Linked DNA regions of Mus musculus: regions 1, 2, 4 and 5 are each reported to be linked to region 3. The links are microRNA targets in miRTarBase. Many come from high-throughput screens and were not tested one by one. Region 3 holds a microRNA gene; each other region holds the end of a gene's coding sequence.
Evidence for each region. Region 3 holds the annotated microRNA mmu-miR-1897-5p (CUUUGGAUGGAGAAAGAGGGGG, at 2,620-2,641, shown strand). A microRNA usually pairs through its seed, bases 2 to 8, with sites in the 3' UTR of a target mRNA and lowers its output. Matches are read on the target gene's strand: a 7mer-m8 pairs with bases 2 to 8, a 7mer-A1 pairs with bases 2 to 7 and ends in A, and an 8mer does both.

Region 1: miRTarBase lists Ccnd1 as a target of mmu-miR-1897-5p. Seed matches in the 3' UTR shown: 7mer-A1 at 1,682-1,688, 7mer-m8 at 2,287-2,293, 7mer-A1 at 2,313-2,319 and 7mer-A1 at 2,746-2,752.
Region 2: miRTarBase lists Utp25 as a target of mmu-miR-1897-5p. Seed matches in the 3' UTR shown: 7mer-A1 at 1,300-1,306.
Region 4: miRTarBase lists Znrf1 as a target of mmu-miR-1897-5p. Seed matches in the 3' UTR shown: 7mer-m8 at 1,133-1,139 and 8mer at 2,390-2,397.
Region 5: the mRNA of Klhl31 is a reported target of mmu-miR-1897-5p. Seed matches in the 3' UTR shown: 7mer-A1 at 3,176-3,182 and 7mer-m8 at 2,981-2,987.

Annotation. Positions count from the first base shown.
Region 1 is chr7:144,929,269-144,933,385 of GRCm38, reverse strand. It overlaps Ccnd1 (cyclin D1), which reads left to right. Exons shown (of 5, transcript NM_007631.3): 5 at 615-3,455. The coding sequence ends at 779. It also overlaps a transcript of LTO1 not described here. Among named protein-coding and RNA genes, the nearest start is that of Ccnd1, 8.5 kb to the left of the region's middle.
Region 2 is chr1:193,104,144-193,108,260 of GRCm38, reverse strand. It overlaps Utp25 (UTP25 small subunit processome component), which reads left to right. Exons shown (of 12, transcript NM_145415.2): 12 at 475-3,858. The coding sequence ends at 718. Among named protein-coding and RNA genes, the nearest start is that of Gm31406, 11 kb to the right of the region's middle.
Region 3 is chr3:34,635,855-34,639,971 of GRCm38, forward strand. Mir1897 (microRNA 1897) reads left to right here and starts at 2,610; the gene lies at 2,610-2,688. Sox2ot (SOX2 overlapping transcript (non-protein coding)) reads left to right here. Exons shown (of 5, transcript NR_015580.2): 3 at 2,504-2,785.
Region 4 is chr8:111,621,282-111,625,398 of GRCm38, forward strand. Znrf1 (zinc and ring finger 1) reads left to right here. Exons shown (of 4, transcript NM_133206.4): 4 at 315-4,117. The coding sequence ends at 372. Among named protein-coding and RNA genes, the nearest start is that of Ldhd, 7.0 kb to the right of the region's middle.
Region 5 is chr9:77,655,075-77,659,191 of GRCm38, reverse strand. Klhl31 (kelch-like 31) reads right to left here. Exons shown (of 3, transcript NM_172925.2): 3 at 1-4,065. The coding sequence ends at 3,333. Among named protein-coding and RNA genes, the nearest start is that of Klhl31, 20 kb to the right of the region's middle.

The DNA.
Region 1 (4,117 bases), not on the chromosome of region 3:
CCTAAGTGTCTGGGGCTCCTGAGAACTGAGAATAGGGTATGTGGGCAGGTTGGAGCCCACAGGCTTCAGAGAGGGAAGGGTGTCTGTGGGTCCATACTAGGCTACTTGGGCCTCACTTTCTCCATCTGTGAAATGGGGCCATTGCCCTTCCATCCTCTAGCCATGGTGTTCATCAAACAAAGGGGGAACAATACACAAGTTTTGAATGTGGGGGCTTCCCAGGTGTTCCCCAGGAATCCTCCTGGCTTCAGGAATATAGACAGTGCCCTAGCTTCAGCCTGCCTAGGCAGGGCTTCAGTTCATGAGTCTTATTCCTGGGCAAATGCTTTCCAGACCCTACCTGTGCTGGAGCTGTCCTCTCTCAGAGGCCACCCAAGGCAAAAAGTTATGAGAGATAGACGCTCCTTGTGGGGAAGTTCAGGGTACAGCCTGGGAGGAGGAACCTAGAGAGTAGCAGTACCTTTCTAGTCTCTGGCAGCTCTCACTGGATTTAGGGGTGGCTTGGGGAGTTTCCTCAAGCCTTGCTCTTAGCAAAGCCTGCCTCGCAGGTCAAGGCCCTGGCCACCGGCCTCTGGCTAAACAAGGACCCCCTCCATCTCCGCCCGCCTCTCCAGGACTGCCTCCGTGCCTGCCAGGAACAGATTGAAGCCCTTCTGGAGTCAAGCCTGCGCCAGGCCCAGCAGAACGTCGACCCCAAGGCCACTGAGGAGGAGGGGGAAGTGGAGGAAGAGGCTGGTCTGGCCTGCACGCCCACCGACGTGCGAGATGTGGACATCTGAGGGCCACCGGGCAGGCGGGAGCCACCAAGTAGTGGCACCCGCAAAGAGGAAGGAGCCAGCCCGGGTGCTCCTGACGACGTCCCCCTTGGGGACATGTTGTTACCAGAAGAGGAAGTTTTGTTCTCTTTGTTGGTTGTTTTTCCTTAATCTTTCTCCTTTCTATCTGATTTAAGCAAAAGAGAAAAAAATATCTGAAAGCTGTCTTAAAGAGAGAGAGAGAGAGATAGAATCTGCATCACCCTGAGAGTAGGGAGCCAGGGGGTGCTACAAAAATAGAATTCTGTACCCCAGTAATCAACTAGTTTTCTATTAATGTGCTTGTCTGTTCTAAGAGTAGGATTAACACAGGGGAAGTCTTGAGAAGGAGTTTTGATTCTTTTATATGTTTTTAAAAAAAAGCTTAAGAAACATTGCTTTAAAAAGGAAGGAAAAAAAATACAGCAAACCATTGTTAAAGTAGAAGAGTTTTTAGGTTGAGAAATGTACTCTGCTTTGCTGAAAAGCCACAGCTTAGGCCCTCAGCCTCACTCCCTGGCTTGCTCAGTGCCTACAGCCCTGTTACCTGATACCTGTGCTTTATCCCAGGGGTGGGCAGACCTCTTAACCTTATAGATGGTCAGTGCGACCTCTAGTGGTCTCATGGCGTGTGGCACAACCCCCCTCCCCAGGGCTCAGCTTAATGTGCCCTCTCCCCCCAACAACCTGCAGGTTCACAGCACCAGCCACACAGCGGTAGGGATGAAATAGTGACATAATATATTCTATTTTTGTAACCTTCCTATTTTGTAGCTCTGTTTAGAGAGATGCTGGTTTTTGCCTGAAGGCCCTGCAGCCTGCCCACATCAGGTTAAACCCACAGCTTTTGTGTGTGGTTTGTTTTGTTGTGTTTTCTTTCTCTATGTTCCAAAACCATTCCATTTCAAAGCACTTTTGGTCAGCTAGCTGGAGGCAGTGTTGCTGGTGTGTGTTGGGGGGAGGGGTTCTAATGGAATGGATGGGGATGTCCACACACGCATTCAGATGGCTGTACAACAGGTTGTAGGGCTGGTAGTATGAGGTGCTTGGGAAGTTTTGTTGGGTCAAGAAGAGAGAACTCTGTTCTCGCACCACCGGGATCTGTCCTGCAAAGTTGAAGGGATCCTTTGGTGCCAGCTGGTGTTTGGAAGTAGGAACCATGATGGCATTACCTGGACAAGGAGATTGGGGACAACTCTTAAGTCTCACACAGGAGGCTTTTAAACACTAAAATGTCTAATTTATACTTAAGGCTACAGAAGAGTATTTATGGGAAAGGCTGCCCATGACCAGTGTGACTCAAAGCAATGTGATCTCCCTTGATTCAAACGCACACCTCTGCCCTGCTGGAGAAGGTTTAGGGCCATGTCTGAGAGATTGGTCTTTCATTGGGCAACGGGGGGGGGGGGGGGGTCCTTAAAAAAAAAAAACCACAAAGACAGAGATTTGGTCTGCTTGACTTTCCCAACCCAATTGGCCCCATTGGAGAGCCATCCAAACTGAGGAAAATTAGGGGACTCCAAAAGAGTTTGATTCTGGCACATTCTTGCCGCTGCCCCCAAGTTAACAACAGTAGGTAATTTGCACACCTCTGGCTCTGTGCCTTTCTATTAGGACTTTTTGGCAGAAGGTGGAGAGCGGGAGGCTTAAGAGGGGATGTGAGGGAAGAGGTGAAGGTGGGACCACATGGGACAGGCCACGGCTCCTCTCATGGCGCTGCTACCGATGACTCCCAGGATCCCAGACGTTCAGAACCAGATTCTCATTGCTTTGTATCTTTCACGTTGTTTTCGCTGCTATTGGAGGGTCAGTTTTGTTTTGTTTTGTTTTACAATGTCAGACTGCCATGTTCAAGTTTTAATTTCCTCATAGAGTGTATTTACAGATGCCCTTTTTTGTACTTTTTTTTTTAATTGTGATCTATTTTGGCTTAATGTGATTACCGCTGTATTCCAAAAAAAAAAAAAAAACAGGTTCCTGTTCACAATACCTCATGTATCATCTAGCCATGCACGAGCCTGGCAGGCAGGTGGGCGGTCTGCCTCCAGGGATCCTGGGACCCTGATGGCGATCGTCCTGTCATGCTGGGCCCTTCATTTGATCTGGGACATAGCATCACAGCAGTCAGGGCACCTGGATTGTTCTGTTATCGATATTGTTTCTTGTAGCGGCCTGTTGTGCATGCCACCATGCTGCTGGCCCGGGGGGATTTGCTCTGAGTCTCCGGTGCATCATTTAATCTGTTAGGTTCTAGTGTTCCGTCTTGTTTTGTGTTAATTACAGCATTGTGCTAATGTAAAGACTCTGCCTTTGCGAAGCCAGCTGCAGTGCTGTAGGCCCCCAAGTTCCCTAGCAAGCTGCCAAACCAAAACGGGCACCACCAGCTCAGCTGAGGCATCCCAGCCAGGCAGGACCCTTGAGGGCCGCTGTATCCATGGTGATGGGGTGAGGTTTTGGCCAAAAGGCCAAAGACTGGTGGTGGGTCCACGGAATCTGCCCTGTGACATGAAAGGCTTTGAGGGGCTCTGGCTGGTGGCCAGGTTGGCTTTTTGTATTTCTGGTTGACACACCATGGCGCTTCCCAGCACAGACATGTGACCAGCATGGTCCAGGAAAAAAAAAAAGACAAAAAATCTAGAAAATAAAATTGGTAAAATCTCAGCTCACTGTTGTCTGTGTTTTCTGGGAACAGGAGTGGGGTGATGCCACAGCCATGTGGGGTGGCATCTCTGGCCCTGGCACCAACCTGGGATTCCCAAGGGGAAGGGTGTATGCAAGTGACAGCCAAGAGCAAAGTGGGAGCCTCTGGCGTCAGGGAGGCCAGCGACAGCCACTGATCAGAAGCGGCTCTGGGTCCATCACTGCCAGCTCACCCTCCTGCTTATTTGCAGATGGAAGATCAACAGAACCCGCGTTCACTGCCCCTTGTCTGGCGCAAATGGGTGTTTGCTCTGGGTGAATCACCGTTTCTTAGGTGCTGCCAAGCGCCCAGAGAGCCATGCTTAGTGTTAGGGCCAAGACCCAAGGTGGCCTTTCACATAGTTCTGCAGACCTGAGTGGCCTGGCAAGACTCCTGTGATGTCTTCGGGGTGGCAGTTACTCATGACTAGTATTGTTTCCAAACCCTGTGGGGACAGGTGGCTTTTAGACATCATCTTCTACAAGGTAGCTTTTGGGTCTCAGCTTGGCTGTTTTGGTGCCTGGTGGGCCCCTGCCCTTCTGGAAAGTGGAGGGTGTAGATGACACCTGGTCTGAGTGGTGCCACCCAATGATGAAAGCAGAAAGAGATGGACGGAGAGAAGCCCACAGTGACCTTGCCAGGC
Region 2 (4,117 bases), not on the chromosome of region 3:
CTACAAATTCCAGGCCAACCAGGGCTCTGTCATGAGATTCTGCCCCCCCCCCCCAAAAAAAAAGAAATAATGATGATAAAGTAAATATCAAGTTTAAAAATTGGGTTGGGCATCATGCTGGTATCAATCTTTAATACCAGCACTCAAGAGGAGGTAGAGGCAGATGGTTTCCTGTGAGTTTTGAGGCCAGCCTAATCTATTATCAAGTTCCAGGTCAGCATATTCTTCCAAAAAAAATTTTAAATAAATACAAATTTCTGTTATCATTATGGTAAACTCAGCATCAGTAATTCAGTTTCGTTGTCACAAGAATAAACCGTCTAATTCTGGGGTAACTTTCTGTCCGTGGTTTGTGCTCGTACCCTCACCCAGACATGTAGAGCCAAGTGTCTGTGAAGCCGCTGACATGTCGAGCCCTGTGCCTGTACATGTACAGCTCCTGCTGCTGCTTCATGCCCCCTTCCTCTCTCACAGGTACACAATAAAAGGCATCAGGAACCTGATATTCTATGAACTGCCAACGTACCCTCACTTCTACAGTGAGGTCTGTAACATGCTGAGAGCCACCAGCAGAGGAGAGGAGGCCACGTGGACGTGCACCGTGCTGTATTCCAAGTATGATGCCCAGAGGCTGGCGGCTGTGGTTGGTGTGGAGCGGGCGGCACAGATGCTGCAGTCTCCAAAGAATGTCCACCTCTTCGTCACCGGAGAAAAATGAGTGTGGAGGGGAACGGACTACATTGTTGGACCTCATAGACCTGATCTGTTCACTGCCCCAGGAACGGGCTCCAGGCAGTCTGCAGTCCTGTGTCACTGGAAAGTGCAGTGTGCAGTGCAGAGTGACCAGTGTGGGTCACCACAGCTGTCAGGGCCAAGAGCAGTCAGAGGCCTGCTACTCTCAGAAACTGACGCTTGTGCTTGCCACACTTTGTAAGCTATGACTTCTCCATTAAGATTTTACTTTTTTAATTTAATTTTTATTTTATGCGTATTGGTGCTTTGCCTGCGTTTATGTCTGTGTGAGAGTTTTGGATCCCCTAAAACGAGTTGCAAGCAGGTGTGAGTTATCATGTAAGTGCTGGGAATTGCGCCCAGGTACTCTGAAAGAGTAGTGTGCTAACCTATTGAGTCATCCATCGCACCAGCCCCTTGGCTTCAATTTTTACTTGGGGAAGATTCTCTGACTTGCCTGTCTATTTTTCTTAAAGCATTTGCTGTTATTGCCCATGGGCCTGGCTGAGAGCAGGAGGTGTCCCGGGCTATGTCCCAGTCTTGGCACTTTACTTTTCTAGCCAAACTTCCAAAAAAAAAAAAAAATGTACTCCAACCTAGAAGAGTACGTTTATTCACTATCATTTTAGATTCTTCCTAGTGTTTTAGTAGCTAAGACATACATTTACCAGTCATGTATAAAGCAGCATTTATTTCTACAGTTCAAGTAACACCATTTGGGACCCAAGGTTGATTCTGTCCTCAGCACCAAGTTGGTTTTTGAATTGTGTAACAGGTGAAAATGAAAAGAAAAATCAATACTTTTAAAATTAAGAAGCATTATTTTAAACTCTATTATAAAAACAACACTATTGCAAATAAGAACCATCACAGGTGACCCTCGCTTCAACTCAACAGAAGGCAGCTTCAGACGACAGGAAGGTGCAGGCCTGAGCCTCAGCTGCTGCAGAGTTGACTGCCAACCTCACGGGTGTTTGGCTTTGGTCTAGACAGTGAGAGGACACGGGCAGGACTGTAGGCTCCCATCACACGTGCAGTGCCCTCTACTCTGTCTTGACCTTGGCACTGAGGCCAGGAAGTCTGTCAGATGTTCCTTAGGTGGGGCTGTGACCTCACTGGGCCCCGTTAGGCCACTTGGCTTGCATTGCGTCGCTGTCTCCTGACCGACTGCCTGTCTGAGACAGGGTTTGACTAACTTCCACTCTAAAGTGAAAATTCAACTTCTACTTTATTCTCCTTAGTTTTTTTCTCTTTCTTCTTTTGTTCGTTTTGTTGTTGTTTTGTTTTTAAAGATAAGAGTGTTCACCACAGGCTGGCCTGGAACTCATGGCAGTCTCCCTGCTCTTGGAGTGCTGGAAACACGGGCTTGAAGCCACCATGCCTGGCCGTGCTTTATGTTTAATTTATACACATGGCTTCACCTTTTGTTAAGTGGGTTACAATACTGCCATCATTATTTTTTCAGGAACTAACCTACTCTCAGATGTGACAGTGGGATCACCGTCAGCTGGATCGCATGCACACTTTTACGTGTGAATAGTTGTATTTCCTGACCAGTCTCTAGCCCTGACTAGTGAGGACAGCTCTGTATTCCTGGTCCTGTCTTCAACCCGCCCTTCCATTTCTGACCTTGACCTTGAATTCTTAATCTTTTCCTACACCTCCCAAGAGCTATCGCATTTTACAAAATTAATTGATTAATCGTTTCACTTTACATCCTGACCGCAGTTTCCCCACCCTCGCCCTCTCCCCTACCTCCCGCATCCCCTCTCCCAACTTCTATGTTGGTAGTTCTCAGTATCTCCTTTGCAGCCCACAGTGTGTGGAGTGATCCCAGTCTTAGATAGGGAGGCACTTACCCAGAAAGTGAGACTTTCAGACTCTGCACAGTGGTCACAGCTACCCAGCTCTTTTCTTTTTGTGCAAAAGGCATTGACTCGAGACAGCTGTCACAGCTGGCTACACCATGTACAGTGTTCGATATAACAAGATAATCACAGCGCCTGAGGCAGAGGCTTCAGCCCTCTGCAGGCTTCCAAAGGGCTTATGATCGAGTGCAGGTGGCCTAGGCAAGATGGGGGGGCATCCTTACTCACACCTCAGAGGACTGGGGGGGGGGGCTCTAAAGCTTTTATTCCCTAATTGCACCCTTTGTGGGGGACAAGAAGATGCTGAGGGCAAGGGAGAGTCAGGGAAGTCTGGCTGCCTTTTGCTGGACCTTTCTGGAATCTCTTCAGACAGCCAGGTTTAGATTTGTTGAGCCTATGGTCTCCAGATGACAAAAGGCCTGGGGAAAGAAAGCAGGGGAAGTTCTCTACACCCGCCTGAAAAGCCATGATGTATAAAGTCTAGGTGGCTGTGAGGTCCCAGAGGCTTCCATAAAGAATGCTGTGGAAGCCATACTGTTCAGGGTGCATCCTCTATGATCTGAGGCCTTCAGCCTTCCTTCCCTTTCCCCCACCCTCTGACCCATTTCCTTGATGCCTTTGGTGTGTGTTTAGTGTAAGTGGCCCTGTACCTCTGACCACAGTGTTCTTATTCCTGTGGGGCTTGGGATCATGTAAGAGGACAGAGTTCAGCCTCAGAAGCAGGTGCTCAACTATCCTTGTACTCTGGAGTCAGGACCAGGCTCTGAATGCCAGCATTGTTCTACAGAGATCTGAACCTGGGCTGGTGGGCAGCTCAACCTGGCCGTCCCTTCACTACTGGAGAGAACATCCTGCTAGCCTGCTCTCCCTGAGGCCAACAGGTCAGGGGTGGCCTGACCAAGCCATCGTGATTGTCAGTCTTGGACCTCTGCATTGGGCTGTGGCCATTTGGGCACCATAGCCTCGGCTGGCATGTGGCGGGAAGGCAGGCTGCTCATTTCCAGTGAGCCTCTTTTTCTCCCAGGCAATTATTCTGACTTCCTTCAAGACTTTCTGAAGAGTTATGTGTTACTCAGTCTTTTTAAAGTGGAACCCATGCTCACTCAAAACCAAAACTAACTAACTAAATAAATAAGCCAGGCATGGTGCCTGGGGGCAGGAGGATCCTGACTAGAAAGCGATTGGTCTGCATAGTGAGATCTTGTCTCAAAAGCAACATAAATAAAGCCAACCAAAAAAAATAGTGCAAAACAAAACTGAAACACCTGGGGTGTGTGTGTGTGTGTGTGTGTGTGTGTGCGCGCGCGCGTGCATTCATGTGTGCTCATGCACATGTTGAGACAGGGTCTCATGGTCTAAACTGGTCTTCACAACTCTTAAGGATGACCTTGAACTCACAATCTCCCATCCCTCCCTCCCACTTAGTTTTCGGCAGTGGAAGAGAGAGAAATGTCAGTGTAAGTGGGAGGGATAGAAGCAATTGGGAGTTGGATGATGATAAAATTTTAGGACTGGAA
Region 3 (4,117 bases):
TTAACCCTTTTTAGATTTTTGGTGACTTACATTCTTCTCTCTCTCTCTCTCTCTCTCTCTCTCTCTCTCTCTCTCTCTCACACACACACACACACACACACACACACACACACACGAACACAAACAAGCATGTGCCACACCTTCTTGATTGCTTCCAGGAGACAAGGGACAACTAATTTCAAACTTCTTAGGGCTGGGATGGTACAGATCTAATCTCAGCTTCCTCAGTGGAGAGGGGTCATCAGCTTGAGTCTTCTTTCAGTCCATGTAAAAAATGGGGAAACTTTGACCACATCCTTGTAAATCTAAATAGTGGAAACATAGGGAGAGAGGTACAATGGTCACTCTGGTCTTTCCAGAATCAGTTGCTATGACAACGTGGGCATTCAAGTCACACTTGCCTTCCTCATCCCCACAGTTCTTGGAAGTGTTCCTACTGATTGTATGGTGCCACACACACTCCCACAGTGCCCCAAATAGAAAATACCCACACATTCCATAGGCAATCATAAAGATCCCTCCCTCCCTGCACACACACTCATACGGGCTCAAGGTCTTTTCTTGTTGGCAGCAATGGGGATTAAGCCTATGACCTCATGCATGCTAGGATTGAGCTTTACAGCACCAAATGGGGCTCACTTTTTTCAACCAGTCTTAAGAAATGCTTAACTTCACCTTTAATCCCAGCACTGGGGAGGCAGAGACAGGAGGATCTCTGAGTTCAAGGTCAGCCTGGTCAACAGAGTTTGCTCCAGGACAACCAGGGCCACTGGGAAACCTTTTACTTTGTACCAAAAATACAGAGAGAGAGAGAGAGAGAGAGAGAGAGAGAGAGAGAGAGAGAGAGAGAGAGAGAGAGAAATGCTTAACTTTTTAAAGTTGTGCCACAATTTTTATTCTTTTCAGACTTCTATTAGGTTGCTTATCTCAACAATTTATACGATAAATAATTTAAGCCAGGCATGATGGTGCACCCTTTAATCTCGGCAGTCTGGAGGCAGAGGCAACGAGGCCAGCCTGGTGTAGTGAGTCCCAGGCCAACTGGGGCTGCCTTGTGAGACCCTGTCTCAAATAATTTAGAAATTAAATTATTAAGAAATAAGCCCTAAAATGATTTTGCTGCCAAGGTTTTGTTACACCACTGACGGCATAAGTCAGGAGAGTATAGTCTGTGGCTCTGGGCTCTTGCAGGCCTAAAGAGCAGCCTGTTCTCCATGTAGCCAGAAAGGTCCGCCCCAAACTCACCACTTCCCTGCAGTGTCTCCTGTCCCATTGTGGGGGCGCTGCTCAAGGTTCATTCGGACCCTCTTTGAGTTTTCATGTTTGGGTTTCCTAAGTGAGAGGAAGCAACTGAAAGAAAGGGAGCAGATGGCTGGAAGAGCCACCCTGAGAGTGGGGCACTGCGGCTGGAGGTGGGCCATCAGTCCGATCCCAGGACCCTTCAAAGTCACAAGTAGCTAGGAATGAATCAAAGAGAGCTAAGAGTAGGATTCACTGGGTGTTAGAGACCTTTAACTGCTTCCTCTCAGCCTAGGCTCCCAGCCTAGGATTTTTAGATTAGCAGAGAGGAAGGCCAGCTTGGAGTGGGGGGGTGGGGGGGGGGAAGTGGAGGGGAGCCATGCCTCCCCTCCTGTGCACATGGAAGAGGCACATCTCAAGATGGAAGAAGCCCTTGTTGAGATACGTGTGGCTGATTCATCTGGTAGCATGGTCCGCCAGCCTGGGAAGAGGAAAGCCACATTTCCTTAAGTTACTGGAACTGGGATTGCCTGTCTCTTCTCCCCCCAACCGTCCTTTCCCCCAGAGGCAGTTGAAACTGCGTTGCCTTCAAGACTGTAGTGAGCCTGAAGATTTGGGGTTTCATAAGGTTACTGCACTACTGATACAATTGCATGCAGATTTTTAAAGCCTTCCAGAGACAGATGTTTGGGCTGATTAAGAATTGAGGAGGAAGCTTGCAGCTGCACCAAGGAATAATGTATTGGACAAATATTTTAATAAAAAATATGAAGAGATCAGCCCGACCTTCCAAGGTCTTCTGCTTAAAAAAAAAAAAATCTTTATCAACCCCCTATTCTATGGGCTTCAATAAACAGAACCCATTACCTCACGGAATCTTTTGTTGGCCCCATACAAGAGAGAACAAAATGGTTATTCAGGGGAACGCTTTGGATTTTATTGTGAGTAGCCTGCACAAAGAACCGTGTTATTGTATTTAAAAGAACCATCTGTAGCAGAAACAATGGCATCAAATTATCTTTGAATACCCACTGAAAAACATAAAGCTTGTTTTTTTTTTTTTATTCTTCTGTACGGTGGGGGATAGAGCAGTGTTAGGATAACTGACTTTTTTGTTGTTCTCTGGGTGCATTCTTCCCGCTCCCCCTCTCTCTCCCCCTCACCCTCTCTCTCTCCTCTCTCTCTCTCCCTCTCCCTCTCTCTCTCTCTTTTAAAAAATCAGCCATTTGGGGTTTTAAGCCATAAACGATTTTTCTTGTTGCAGGGGATTGCAGAGGCAAAGCTAGACTAGGTCTTGGAGGCTGGTGTAAGGTGGTGCGCGGAAGGCAGGACGCTGATGGGAGAGACTGGTCGAAGAAAAGCCTAAATGGATTCTCCGTGCTTTGGATGGAGAAAGAGGGGGGAAGTGCGAGCTCCTTCAACTCGTTCTGTCCGGTGAGGAGTGATCCAGCTTGGGCTGACGAGAGGCTCCGGAGCCTTCACGTTCAGTGCTTTTTACCTGCCAATCAAACTGCTACAAGACAACACCCTGATCTGGCATGGTCGCGTAAGTAGCTTGCAACCCAACTTTGACATTCAAGGCTAGCTACCTCTCCCCACCCCCCAACACACTCACTCACTTTCTTCTCCTCTCATTCTGCCTCTTTGTGTGTGTGTGTGTGTGTGTGTGTGTGTGTGTGTGTGTCTGTGTGACCTTTAAGAGAGCTGGATACCCACCCTGTGTAGCAGTTATTTAACACAGGCCGATTTAAGTCAGAAGGTGTTAAGTTTGGGAATTAAATGCTAATTAAGATCTCTTTAACAAATGCAGAATTGAAGTGACATTTTATTCTCTTTGGGGCAGATAGTTTTGAGGTCTGAACGTAATCAAGGTGCTGTATGTATGTATGAAAGGGGTGTGTGTGTTTCTTTTTAAGCAAAAACTAAACGTCTGTGAGTCCCTATAGGTAAATCCAATAATGAAAATTTTCGGGTTTCCATCTTAAAACTGTTAAATTCTAGTATTGCTCTCCTACTAAGATCCTTGTGCAGACCGCAGTGACTTAGATGCTGAAGGGCTCACTTCGATCCCTGTTGGGACTGGGGGAGTGGGGGTGTGCTGTAATTGGGGTGAAAGAGAGCTTGAATTTAAAAAAGTGAGACAGGGGACATGACTAACCCTCATTCTTTATGCAACTGGAATAGAGGGAGATAGAAACGCAAGGGGGCAGGATCATCAAGAAATATTACCTGAGAGGGAATACAGAGGCTGACGAGGCTGGGATCTGGGAGGGCTGAGAAAAGCTGGCTAGGGCGCTGGGCTACTCTCTGGCGCCCTCTAATGACAAATCGGACGACATTACCTTCGCCATCCCACGCTCAGCAAAGGTTTTTTTTTTTTTTTTGTAGCTGCTGAAGCTGTGGTTTTTGTTGCGCTTGTTTGGTTGGTTGGTTGGTTGATTTGGTTTGTTTTTGCTTTGCTTTGCTTTGCTCTGCACTTAGTAGAAAAGATAGGTATTTTTCCGTCCAGAAACTTAGTACAGGTGATTTTTGGCGCGCGTATTGCCTCCAAGCTGAGGATGGCTGGCTGTTTGATTCGTGGAGCGAGGCCCTGTGGGGATGAGCAGTGTGGGGGGAGGGGGGCTTCTCAGCCTGAGAAGTGTGGTTGGGAAGGCCAGTCTGAGGATCCTGACACCCGCCCATCATCGCAATTCAAGGAGGCTCCTGAGGACCTCTGTCACCTAGGCGTGCAGTGGCCAGGGGCCTCCCTTTCCTTCTTTCTCCTCCTCTTCGTCGTCGTCGTCCTCCTCCTCCTTCTTTTCCCTCTTTTTTTTATTTAAAATTTTGGTAGATAAAGGTTAATCTTGGGCTGAATGATAAAGCTATGATTGACAAGAGA
Region 4 (4,117 bases), not on the chromosome of region 3:
GGGGTGAGATCTCTGGATTTATGGGATGGCTGTGAAGCAGCAGACAGGTGGTGTGAACCAGACTTGGGTCCTCTGGGAAGCAGCATCTCTCTCAAACCACTGACTCAAGCTCCCGTCTGCCCTCCCACCCTTAGGATATCGTTGTTGATCATCTTCCTTTTTCTGCTTCAATGAATTGGGGGCATAATCATGTTTCCCTGGGGTCGTTTCAGGAGAGATTTAGAAAGCCTTTCCTGAGAACCCCTTGAAAGGCTCCCTTGGCAGGAACAGTGTTGTTAGCAGCTAATGTGTTTCCCCTTGATGCCCCACTCCAGCTGCATAGACTCATGGTTTGAAGTGAACAGATCTTGTCCAGAGCACCCTGCTGACTGACCCTGCTGGGCCTGCTTGCCGACTCCTCTCAAAGGTGAGCCCATACTTGGCGGGAGACTCTGGGCTAAGAGTCAAGTTTCTGGGAGCTGGGGGAGAGGAGCTGGCCTGCCTGATACACACCCCACCAAGGAGAAAGCAGAAGCAGAAAGACAGAAGCCATCTCCTCAGAGAGCAGTCCCCAGGAAGTAGGGGGATGTTCCTGGGAGTTGGGGGAGCATGAAAGAGCGATAGTAACCTAGTCATGAGAACTCCATGCAAAGATAGAACCAGGCTCCTTCCCCTCAGGAGAGGCAGAAGGTCCCCTGCAGGGTGCATGGGCTGGAGCAGAGGCGCCCCCAGCCAGGCTCTACAGCAGCCTCACCTCCCTCACCTCTCAGAGACTCGGTTCTGAAAGGGAAGAATCACTAAGTAGTGGCCTGTGGAACAGACATTGTCCACTGCAAAGACATGGCCTGAGGTCTTTCCACTCCTGGTTCTTCCACCGGCCTGAGAGGTCCAGGCCACACTCAGTCCTTGTGTCCCAGGCACAGTGTCACAGCAGCAGGCTACTCCCTCCCACACACGCACTTCTGGTGCTGTGTAACCATTGGATCTGACCTTCATTTCTTCCCCAGGGTACCTTGTTTAACTGCCCCTATCCCGCCCCCACCCTGCCTGTGCCTTTGAGGACTGTGTTGGGTGTTCTCTCTCTTTTGTTTTGTTTAGTTTGTTTTTGTCCCATCCAACTGAAAACCATCAGCCCCTTCCCACTTGATCCCACATCCAAAGGCTTGGGGATCCCTTTTCTTCTCTCTCTTCTTTGTTGTTTTTTCTTTTGTTAGGTTTATTTTATTTATTCCAAGTAAATGCCCAGAACAGCTGCTGGTGTCAGGCAAATCAGGGACATTGGCTCTTTCTACCCTCACCTCAAAACCTGATGCCAAGCGAGGGAGAGTGAGGCAGAGGGACTGGATCCCAGCTCCAGAGTGCAGGTCCAGAATGCCGCCGCCGGCATGATGTTTGGCTTCCAATGGGCCTGCCTGGACTGAACCAGATGCCCCAGCCAACCAGCCTGGTCTCAGGGGGACACAAGCTGCTGCCACCGTGCGATGGAGCGGCAACTCTCAGCAAGATGAAGCGGGACTGACTTCTTCCGACCCACACAGGGACAGCCAGCCCCTGTTCCTGGGAGGAGGCTCCTCGGACACTGGACAGAGCTGAGCTTGGGACACCAGAGAGAACAGGGCACCCTTCTGCACTGACTTCCAGAAAATGGTCCTCCCTGAGGACACCCAGTGGATGAGAGAAGAATGAATTGACCTCTATCCTTCCCCTCACCCTCGACCCAGGAGGGAAAGGGCATTTTCTTTTTCACCTTTGAAAGGCGTTGTGGGTCTGTCTTTAAAAAGTGTTTACAAACAACAAAAAATTCTATAAAAAAGTCTTGTGTCGACTGGTGTTTTCCCTTGTGATGTTTACAGCCTGCTGTTTGCTGCCCAGCTAAAAACCACTCATGACAGAAGCAAGCATAGCCATGTCCTGACCCTAGCGCTCTGATGGCAGGTGGGCAGGCGGGCACACGTTAGTCCCTCTGCCCAGCGCCCCAGTTGGCTCTCTGCATCACTAACCTTTCTACCTTTGGGGATTCGTTTTTTTTTTGTTTTCTTGTTCTTCTGTCCCATTTTTCTGGCTTGGTTTTGCACTTTTCTCCCCTTAAATTTCCTTGATTTCCTTGCCAAAAAAGAGGAAGATGAAGAGCCCATCGTGGACACTTGCCCTCCCCCAGCCCCGAGTCTCCCCTGCCTTTCCTCCTGGATCTGATCCCATCAGAGGATTTAATAATCACAAATACACTGAAAAAAAAAATGCCTGGACATTTTTCCAAGGCCCCTGTGATTTTTTTTTCCCCCTGAGGAAATTTAGACTTAGCTAAAGGACTGTGTGCTGCAACCCCCATTTTCAGGCGCACGGAAATATTTTAGCCATTCACACATGACATCAGCCCATGCAGGATAGGTTTCTGTATTTATATATTAAAATCCAAAAAAAAAAAATTACAAAAATGTTTTAAAACTGTTCAAAGCTTAGGAGAAAAGCTTATCAGTCAAGGTGTTTTGATATGGTATTAAAATAGTGTGTAACAAAAGATGCACCGTGTGATTTATTTTAATGAAGTGTTGTTACACAATCAAGGTGGAAGGCAAATGCCAGTTCCCTCTGTCCACCTCTCAGCCCACACCCCCTCCCTCAGCACCTGTAATGGCTTAGCCACTCCTGGGCAGAGGCTCTACATAGTGGCTCGGCTGTGTCTTTGAAGTTTATAAATTCTTAAGCATCATGGAGTGATTGTCAGTCTTCTGTCATCTCTGGTTGTGATAGGATGCTACTGGAATGATATTCAGGGGCAAAGCTCTTACAGCCACCAGAGGATACAGGCACCTGGAGATGCCAGCCCAGTCCGTTTGCTTTTCAGAGCCTCTGCCCCCCTCCCTACCCTCTGCTTGCCTGTTGCTCCGTGCAGAGCCAAGTGCTGACTCATGGGCATGCTTCTCTGAGGCCCCGGAAAAGGCCCTGCTCTGGGCTTCTTCCAGCTCACAGTCCTTGAACCAGAACCAGCCACTCAGCCTCATACAAGTTAGCAAATTGCAGGCTGGGCAGGAAACCTCGGGGCAGAGCAGCAGTGCATACCTGCCTGTCTTCTAGCCAGGCTCCAGGAGCTGCATTTCAGGGCCTCCTGCAGAGCCAGCTAAGGGAAGCTCTGGAGGGAGATGGCACCACCTCTCTACCATGACCATTTCCAGACCTGCCCCTTGTACTGCTGTGTCAGGGCCCAGTCCCAGCAGGCCCACAAGTTTGGACTATGCTACCACCCTTGCCCTCAGATGCGTCCTGAAGCAATTGCTCTGTGCAAGGACATGTGTTGGAGGCCAGTGGGCATGTGGGCACCAAGGCAGGGAGGCAAGTTCAGAGAACTAAGAGTGCTTTATTTAGAGCCTGAGTGTCAGACGCCTCAGGACCTGAACTGTAAGCACTGTCAATGGCCAGAAACTGGGCTCTTGTCTGTACTGGGGCACTTTACTTCTTGGTGGAACCGTGAACTCGATCCCTTGCATGTGAAGTGGGGACAGGGTCATGCGGCTCGGTTCAGTTTGTGTCGGGGATCTGCCCCAAAGGCCTGGCACATGCGCAGCAGGCTTCCTTGTAGCTATGTCACTGCAAAGGGCACTGTTCTATTCCCAGCACCTCCAGCTTCTGCCTGGCACCTGTGTCTCCCCGTTCTATATATAATCCTACCAGCAGAGCTGGCGGGCCAGGGCCCAGCCCGCAAAGAGATCTCCTTGTCTGACCCCCGGGCCTGGAGACAGGCTTTGTGTGCCCACCTTGGCTGTGTGAGCTCGGCTGCCCTGGCAGTGCTGTGGCTGAGTCCCGTGGTTGAGTTGGTTGGGGCGGCGCTGAGCCCCACACCGGGTGCTATTCTAGGCTCTCTAGGCTGGTGCTCATCCCATCCCCAGTGACTTCCGCCCCCACCTGGCACACCAAAGCCCTCTGTTGGCTGTCATGTCCTCTGAATTTGGACCCAGATTGCCAGTGCCTGGTGTGAGGGGTGGGTGGGACTGGGCTTGTCTGGGCTTCCCAAGGTGGCACTTGTGTGTGTCACCTTTTATCCAGACAGCCCTCCAGAATCCTGTGTTGTTCGTTCCTACTCTGCCTTTCTGAGAAGGAAGAAAATCCGGAAGAGCCAAGGGATGGGTTCTTCCCCTTAGCT
Region 5 (4,117 bases), not on the chromosome of region 3:
CGGAACTCAGGCATTAACAAAAATCACAAGACATTTTCTTTGAGAAAAATAAACACAAGTACATGTTTGGGTCCTACCTTGTGGCTGTAACTGAATAGGGGTAAGCAGGAACCACAGTACAAGCATGTAAAGTTTGCAGTTGCAAAGCGGACTCTGCTTCCCAGGAGCAGCAACTTGGAAATGGATTAAAGACTTTGAAGGGTACAGAACGTATTGCATCTTCTTGCATTTTTGTCCTTAATGGCAGTGCAGGCTATTCTGGGGCTCAAAAATTCACTAGCTTTCATGGACCATATCCTATCAACCTCAGTGCACCAAGACGTGGTAAGCCCAGCTGTGTATATTTTCTGAGTCTTCAGATTAACAACACAGAACATAAGTGATTGCAATTTACCCAGGGGCTGTAATCGGGCTGTGCTTTGCCTCTGGAAAGCAACCTCGTGGGCTTTACATCCTACCTTACCAGCTCCAACTGAGGTCCCTCTATTTTCTGTCTCTCTCCGCATGTTTTAAATCCTAAAATGTTACAACGAGTTGACTTTTATTTCATTCACAGCCCTAGGTCCTTCTTTTCACACACCTCTACATTCTCTATTGAGGCACAGCTATTAGTGCACATAAATGAATTACATCAGTCTATTCAATTATTTGTAGCCCCCAATGAAGCACCCTTTTCTCTCTCAAAATTACCCATATACTGTAGGCATAAATTGCAGAGGTGTGTCTATACTGCCCTGATAAGATGTGATGGCTGCCCTAGCAAGTCGTGGCCAAATGATCCCCAAAATATTTGCTCAGAGTTTTGTTTTCCAGCCTGCACAGTCATGGAGGCAAAAGAGCAGGTGTCTTTAGGTTTTCCCTGCAATTGATGGAACTCCTCTTTCTCTCTGTATCTTTGTGCTAATGGTGTCTTACTTATTTACAGTGTTTATAGTCTGTTCCTCTGTTCCTGAGCATCACTGTTGAATACCCCAAACAGAACTTTTTGTAAGGGGTGATGAGGAAGGTTATCTCAAGAATGTTTTATTTGAACCACTTTTCACAGTTGGAATAAGATGTAGCCATCCCTCAGTGTCCTTGGGAGACTGGAACCAGGACATGCCCCATCCCCTGCTGGGATACAGTGTCTGTGACACTCACGTCCCATCTACAAAGTGGCATGTACTATTTACATACACCCTGCTCACATCTTCTTCTATAAGTTATATTGTTTCTAGGGTATTATAATATCTAATACAATGCAATTGCTATGCAAACTGTTGTGCTGTATTGCTGGGGGGGGGGAGAAAATATTTGGTACATGTTTGCTATGCAATTTTTTTTTCAAATATCTTCATCTTGGGTCTAGCTGCACCTACAGATGTGTTAACCCACAGACAAGGGGACTGGGCTTTAGACATGACCATGACAGCTACAACACACATGTAATAGGAAAGGCTGGGATTGGTAATAACCAAGATACAGTTCCAGATGCCTCTCCATCCCTCCAAATTCTCTAGTTGTACAGAAGGCATGGATGATAGGCATTTCCTTCCCCAAACAAATATACTATGAAGATAAACTGATATATTAAAGGAAAATATCCATCATTTACTACAGTTCTTCCCCTTTCTTCCAAACTTGGCAGATAACTCAAGGAAATGGTAGCAGGAAAATACACGTTGCAAGGCAGGATGACATAAGCCTTTAATTTCAGCACTCGGGAGGCAGAGACAGATCTTACTGAGTCTGAGACCAGCTTGGTCTACCTAAATGAGTTCTAGGGCAGCCAGAGCTACATAGTGAGACCCTGTCTAAAAAAAAAAAGAAAAGAAAAGAAAAAGGAAAAAAGAAAAAGAAAGAAGAGAAAAGAAAAGAAAAGAAAAGGAAAGAAAAGAAAAGAAGAGAAAAGAAAAGAAAAGATCCAACCAACCAACCAAATAGATACAGTTTGATTTGCAAAGTGGTATTAACAAAAGTAAATCATAAAGAGCATTATTTTGGGGGTTAATATTTTAAGTTAGCTATCAGCACTCCTCAGTGAGGAACCCATCTATTCATCTGGTAATTGCCAAGTCCGAGAACCCCAAATATTTCCTTCATCATCTCCACGTGAACGAGGGGTCAGTAAAATTACTGCTATTGGCTGTACAGCCAAAGGCTAAGCTGCAGTTAATGATATTCATCCAAGAACATAGTGTGATTTGGTGATTATTCGGGCTAATGTTAGAGGCAATTTGACCATACCTGAGTAAGATAAAGCTGTACCCGATGGTACACGCCTGTAATTCCAGCCTACTGGGGATGCTGAAGCAGGAGGAGCAGCCTGGCAACCTAGTAAAATCCTACTTTAAAATAAGAAAGAGGGCTGTGAGTGGTGGCACACACCTTTAATCCCATCACTCAGGAGGCACTGGGAGTTTGAGGCTAGCCTGGTCTACTTAATGAAACCATGTCTCAAATATTAAAATAAAGCGAAGACTGGATATGTAGTTAGCTCCCGGGTAGAGTACTAGTGTGTACCAGGCCCATCCAGAAAAAAGGAAAAAAAAAAAAAAAAAAAAAAAAGAAAAAAAAAACAACTCTGTCCATATAAGGATTAGAGATACAAGTGGAAATATTTCTAAGAAAAATGCCAAATGATTTGAATTTACACTATAAATTAAATGACAGGAAACTGTTCCTTTTCTGAGAGTAGGATTTTATGTTAGAAAATGGCAGAAGCTTCAAGGACAGAATGAGGGGGTATACACCGTTAACCCCAAACTGCCACCTTGTCGTTTCCTAGGTAGAATGTATAGCTTTCCAGCCACATCCTGTTAAAAGCTTTGTGGCTATGTCATGAGATCTTTTTAAAAGTTCTTTCCAGTCAAGTAGGGACAAAGAATAATTTTCTGTTGAAATATAGAATTAAATCTTTATAGATGTAGACTATTTTCATTTGCAAATGTGAAGTGGGTATTTTCAACTTCCTTCAAAGAAACAGAGAGGAAAATACTCCTTTGGATAGGAAATTGTATAGACGAGTAGGTTTCACGTGTACACCGTGGGAAAATCTCAGCGTGTGTGTAACTGCTATGAATTTAGGAAGCGAGCCTCCTTGCAAGAGTGCCTGTAACAAACTCTAGTGGCCACCCAGTGGCTGCATAATGAAATTGCTTCTTTTGTTGGCTACAGCCCTTTATTATTTTTTTTTTTTTGGAGGGAAAGACTGAGGTAGATGGTGCTAAACTAAGAATTTAAAGCGGTCCAGGCACTCCTCTGGATCGATTTGAACCACCGTCACTGTAGTAAATGGTGTATATTTTCCTGGTGGCCCACTCACAGTTTGACCACATTGGGAAGCAATGCGTTCAGATACTGACCGGCACGGAGGACACCGAGCTGGCCCGTGACTCTCGGGACACGCTGTTGGGCATGGCCAGCGTGCAGCAGGACACGCCCACGGTGGCCTCGGGCAGCTCGTCGTCCTCCGTCCACTCGTTGAGCTCGGGGTTGAAGCACTGGATGCATTTCTTGTACTTCTTCTCGCCCTCGTTCCAGCCGCCCAGCAGGTAGGCTCGCCCGTGCAGCGCCGAGACACCCGCCGTGCTCACGCCCACGGGCAGCGGCGCCACGAAGCTCCACTGGCGCGCTGCGGGACTGAAGCTCTCCACCGTGAGCACGTCCACGCGCTCCCCGCGCGGCCCCAGCTGGCTGCCCCCCATCACGTACAGCCTGTCGCCCAGCGCCACCGCGCAGTGCCAGCCTCGGGGCGTGCTCAGCTGGGGCAGCTCCTGCCACGCGTCGAGCGCGGGGTCGTAGGCGCACACGGAGCGCGAGTACGCACTGCCGATGTAGCCGCCGGTCACGATCACGCGGCCGTCGGCCACGGCGCTGGCGTGGCAGCAGCGCGCCACCTCGAGCGGCGCTTTGGGCTGCCATTGGTTGGTGGAGGGCACGTAGCACTCCAGCGAAGCCAGGCTGCCCTCGGAGTTACGGCCGCCCACCGCGTACAGCAGCCCGTTGAACACGCTCAGGCTGAAGTGCGTGCGCTTCTGGTTCATGCTGCCCAAGTGAATCCAGGTGTTGAAGCGGGGATCGTACCTGAGATGAGAGAACCGTTGTTGCAGAAGAGGGAATCGTGATCTTGTCCCCA